Kluyveromyces lactis: one gene and its partner. The protein of the gene in region 1 binds, or shares a complex with, the protein of each later gene. Links are inferred from orthologs where the notes say so. Each region holds a gene or a part of one and is shown on either strand. Other genes may lie near its edges.

Region 1 (2,297 bases):
CTTCGTCCAAATCAAGCGTGCCGCACCACACTTCCCGCATGAAGAGGTAGATCCAACTCAAGATCAAGAACCGGACGAATTGAAGGATCCCAACCTTCTTGTCAGTGAACCTGCCAATTGCCCTTACTGTGCCACTGCAGAGTTTGGTGTAACATACGAACCGCGCAGGGACGTGCGGACTGGAATCAACGGGATCTACGCTTCCGAATACAAGATTGCCGAATACAAGGACCGTGAAGGCCTAGTATCGGATTCTAGCAGCAATGAAGATGACGAACTCGTAACTATAGAACAAATTCGTAGGGGCTCAATAGCAGCCGATGATCCGTCTGTGATAACATCCGATTCTATAAGACCTGACTGGGAGATCAATCTAACCAAAGAAAGATTAAGACTCGCTAGAAGATCAGCAAAAGCTACTGCAATACACATGAGTAATCAATTAATTGATCCCGAACACCCTTCTAGACACGCATCCATTTCTTCTTCAGTTGGAGGCCCTGACGGAGGGAATAGTCCTCAACGTCGTCAGAAAACATTAGAAGAACTGGATGACGAAATGCTCCAACAAGCAATCAAACTAAGTTTGCAGGATCATTAACCTAATTTGGAGCTTATTTCATGAACTGAAAGCATTTTCTCCTGCACTGCTGTCTCCTTCATTACCTTCACGACTAACGACAGATACAATCAACACATTCGCAAATTACTTCACTTTGCATGCATCTTTTAACAATCCCATAACTTTCGCATCATACCTTAAGATACAAGGTACACTCATCAGTAACACTGCGCGCGAGTATATATATGTTTATAAAACATAGAATATTATGTGGAATATAGCACCCATCTGCGGACTCACTCCGACTCAATATCAGGGATTCTCCCTTGTACATCTACGCTGACTCTGTACATCCAGCGTTTCATGCAGAAACATTATATCACATCACACGAATTATCATGCCTGACGAAACCACGCAGCTTTTCCTGAAATTTTTCACCTTTCCACGATGAGATGTGAAATATCAATAAAACTTACAGGAGTAACCATTTAACATTTCGATAGGAAAAGTATTTGTTTTACACATGATGGCATTTGTTCAATTTGAAGCTTCTTTTATGAAATATTCTTATTACTTATATCGTTTTATTATTTAGTTTCTCTTATTTTCAAAGGACCAAAGAAATAGTCTGCTTCATTACGAGCTTAATCTGATTATCTCTACACTTGCCAGAACCAGGAAATTTTACATTAGAAATGTCTGTTGAAACTGCTTTGTCTTACGCTGCTTTGATCTTGGCTGATGCTGATATCGAAGTCTCTTCTGAAAAGTTGTTGGCTTTGACTGAAGCTGCCAACGTCCCAGTTGAAGGTATCTGGGCTGATATCTTTGCTAAGGCTTTGGCTAAGCAAAACATCAAGGACTTGTTGGTCAAGTTCGAAGCTGGTGCTGGTGGTGCTGCTCCAGTTGCTACTGGTGGTGCTGCTGCCGGTGCCGAAGAAGCTGCTGCTGAAGAAAAGGAAGAAGAAGCCAAGGAAGAATCCGATGATGACATGGGTTTCGGTTTGTTCGATTAAATTAGGTTAACTTTTAACATAGGAGGAATAAATTCTGTTTTTATTACTAGCGCATTAAGCTACTACTTACTACGTTAAATTTGAGAATCAAATAACACATCATTTGAGTGTATACACAAATATGTATATATAATCAACCGTTTTTAATACACAAACGTCCAATCTTCAAAGCATCTCATCACTAGTGACACTTTGAAATATAAGTAGGATCGTATAAGGTTCCATAATATCATTAGACAAATTGATAATCTGATAATTTGAATTAGATGTAAAATATTATAGTTTATACGTTTTTTTACACGGTAGACAATGTCTCATAATTACCAAACAGGAAACTTATTGAGAAAGGGGATGCGGTGACATTAATTCTTAATGACGGAAAGATAATTTGATTAAAAGATATTTATAAAATAAAACAACGTTTTGTCTAGTATTTGAATAAAAGGTATGGAGTTGCTTATTTCTTCTTTTCAGCTTCAGCTTCAGCCTTGTCCTTAGCTCTCTTTTCTCTGATACCCTTGTATCTCTTGTCGGATCTAGCCAATCTCAAAGTTCTGTAAGCAGATTCACCGTTGTCTTCAACAGCTCTGGTTTCAGAGTCAGTAACTGGTTGGACAATTGGGAAAGAGGCAGCAGCAGACAAAGTTTGTTCAGCTTCTGGAGCCTTACCCTTTCTTGGGAAGACGATGATCTTAGATTGGTATTCCTTCAATCTTTG
Region 2 (2,685 bases), about 1.0 Mb from region 1:
TTGATTGTAAGGGCTTATCAATAGTTTTTAACTTCTTCAACGTCTTCTGCTTGAAATTGGCCAACTGAGGCGAAATTTCCTGATCTCTAAACTGGAGCTTCTGTTTACCATTGGTTAATTTCTGTTTGATGAATTGTTTCGAGGGCTGGCTGTAGGATTGGACAGTCGATGCGATAGGGTCCAAAAACTCAATGAACGTGGCCAACCGAGTTCTAAAAGACTGTTGGTCAGTCATCGCGATGCCTTTCGGTTAAGCAACCAGTTTCCTTAGCAAATAGTGTATCGAGATATGGGTCTGCACCTGAGATAACCAAGTGCTTTCCCCTTTGTCCCTTTGAGGTCCTTATTCGGTTCGTATATATTGTTGTTTATATACCTAGGCTTTGGAACAATTTCACATGCTCAAAGCAGTCACGTGAATAAGAAGTAGTTTCAAGTAACTGTTGCATATCCGATCTGCATGGAAGCTTTTAAGCTCAGAAGTGAAACTTGACCTGTATAATACTCATATTCTATTATAATGAAATAACGGCGAGTAAATATGGTTACATATTATACAAAATGAAAACAGTTGTTATAAATAGGAAAGAAACATTCTAAGATAGACTAGAGAGTTTTCTATCCTGTTTAAGCCAAAGCAGTCAAGATATCGGAGTCACCGGCATCCAAAATGGTAACGACACCGACTCTGAACAACTTACCGACAGCGGTACCCAATTCGTTGTTACCACCTTGGAAGTAGTAGACCTTGGTCTTGGACAACATGGCGTAGTATTCCAATTCAGACTTTCTCAAGACTGGGGTGTTGGCAGCGATGATGATCAACTTAGCCTTACCTTGTCTCAAAGACTTGACGGTAGACTTGTAACCCAAAGAGTACTTACCGGACTTAACGACTAAAGCCAACTTTTGGTTGATGTTTTCTTGGTTCTTAGCTGGGGCCTGAACAAATAGAAGAAGCAATTATATGCGAGGGTTTTCCCACATAATAAAAGTTTGAAAAACTGTTAGTAAAATGGTTCCAATTAAGAATCCAAGTAATGCAAAGAGGCCCTATTCCGAAAACGTCAAACGCCAAGCTTTAAACGAAAGTGAAGTCATTTCTTCTACCGTCGATGGGTTGCTTGTTTTATTAGATTCGATTCGGGCGACTAGCGCATAGAACAAAGTATACTGACCATCTCTGTGTATTTTAACTGGTGATATCTATCTGAACACTCCGGTCTGGTTTTTTAAGACTATAAATCAAGAGACGAGCATAAAATAGTAGAAGACAACGTCAAGATGTATAACAAGCTTTGTCTTATTTGTATCATTGAGAGATGAGAAACTGTTGAAACTTTTCAGTAAAGATGTGGAAAGTCTTGTGTGTGGTCTTATCCTGTCAGGGTAACAATAGGAGTGTTTGAGACTGTTTTCGTAACGAACAGAAAGTGGTGTACGGATGTAAACTTTGAATTTGCTTTGAAAACGGCGCGAATTACTGTATTAGGAAATGCATATTCTCACTTTTTTCCAATTTCAGTTCTTCCTGAGGGAAGGCTGCCTGGACAGGGGCAGTTCCCTCTGTCTGGCTAGCTTTCCAGCAAGGCCTCCCATTGGATCCACCCTCTAGGATGCTGGGAGAGGATTCCTAGGCAGACAGTCATACACTTCCCTCAGCAGCAATCCCACTCTGAACCAGACTCTCCAGCTCACGTCCCACCTGGCCACAGTGCTCCAATGGTCTGCTCATGCGCTGGACTCTGGACAGGAATGGTCCTGAGCCTAGGCTCAGAGCTAGGACCTGTTCCAGGCAGCTTGGCCTGTCTTCGACATTTCTCACAATTTAACAATTTTGGAATCAACAATTACAGAGAATAACAAGTTAATTAGTGTGTACAGGTCCAATTAAGACATATATACGTTTTAATAGAGGCCTTTGTTTAGATAGACCAAGCCAATCAAGTGAAAAAGTATGCACCATACGCCTCCATATACGACTGACACAAATATAGTACAGACCGCGTGTTGAGAAGAGAGTTCTGAATGAATGAACGAATGGATGAGAATACCGGAACGTTTGAAAGATTGAGTTTGAGAGTGAGGCCATTGCCAATATGATAGAATAATGGATAGAATAATGAACAGGATAAATTAACGTGCATGATTGATGTACCGTGATCGCACTAATTTTCTGAATTTGCGGTTAGACCAATATTTTAAATGATAGCCATCAGAACTTATGACATATTTTCACACTGTAAAGCCAATACAATGAACAGAGAAGGAAGATTAGGAATATACAGGTCTTTCACTCATAACGCTGCATACCAGTACTGTCATGTTGTTATACCGTTTGATATTTTCCAAAGCAAAAGATTTACTAACAAGTTAATAACGTTATCGCAAATTTGAATTACAGATAAGAAATGAAGGTCGAAATTGATTCCTTTTCCGGTGCTAAGATTTACCCAGGTAGAGGTACCTTGTTTGTCCGTGGTGACTCCAAGATCTTCAGATTCCAATCTTCCAAGTCCGCTTCTTTGTTCCACCAAAGAAAGAACCCAAGAAGAATTGCTTGGACTGTCTTGTACAGAAGACACCACAAGAAGGGTATCACTGAAGAAGTTGCCAGAAAGAGAACTAGAAAGTCCGTCAAGGCTCAAAGAGCTGTTGTCGGTGCTTCTTTGGAATTGATCAAGG

Evidence for each region.
Region 2: RPP1A (region 1) and RPL30 share a complex: the UniProt entries of both Saccharomyces cerevisiae proteins name them as parts of the large ribosomal subunit. The link is inferred for Kluyveromyces lactis from reciprocal best matches to the Saccharomyces cerevisiae genes RPP1A and RPL30.

Annotation. Positions count from the first base shown.
Region 1 is NC_006041.1:1,966,597-1,968,893, reverse strand, and holds RPP1A (ribosomal protein P1), read left to right. Parts: upstream 1-1,258; coding exon 1,259-1,579; downstream 1,580-2,297. Other genes in the region: SIP5 (Sip5p), read left to right, coding at 1-601; KLLA0_E22001g (60S ribosomal protein eL13), read right to left, coding at 2,037-2,297. UniProt on the Saccharomyces cerevisiae protein: Component of the ribosome, a large ribonucleoprotein complex responsible for the synthesis of proteins in the cell.
Region 2 is NC_006041.1:955,076-957,760, forward strand, and holds RPL30 (60S ribosomal protein eL30), read right to left. Parts: upstream 1,182-2,685; coding exon 1,179-1,181; intron 943-1,178; coding exon 628-942; downstream 1-627. Other genes in the region: GPC1 (glycerophosphocholine acyltransferase), read right to left, coding at 1-235; KLLA0_E10869g (60S ribosomal protein eL24), read left to right, coding at 2,412-2,685. UniProt on the Saccharomyces cerevisiae protein: Component of the ribosome, a large ribonucleoprotein complex responsible for the synthesis of proteins in the cell.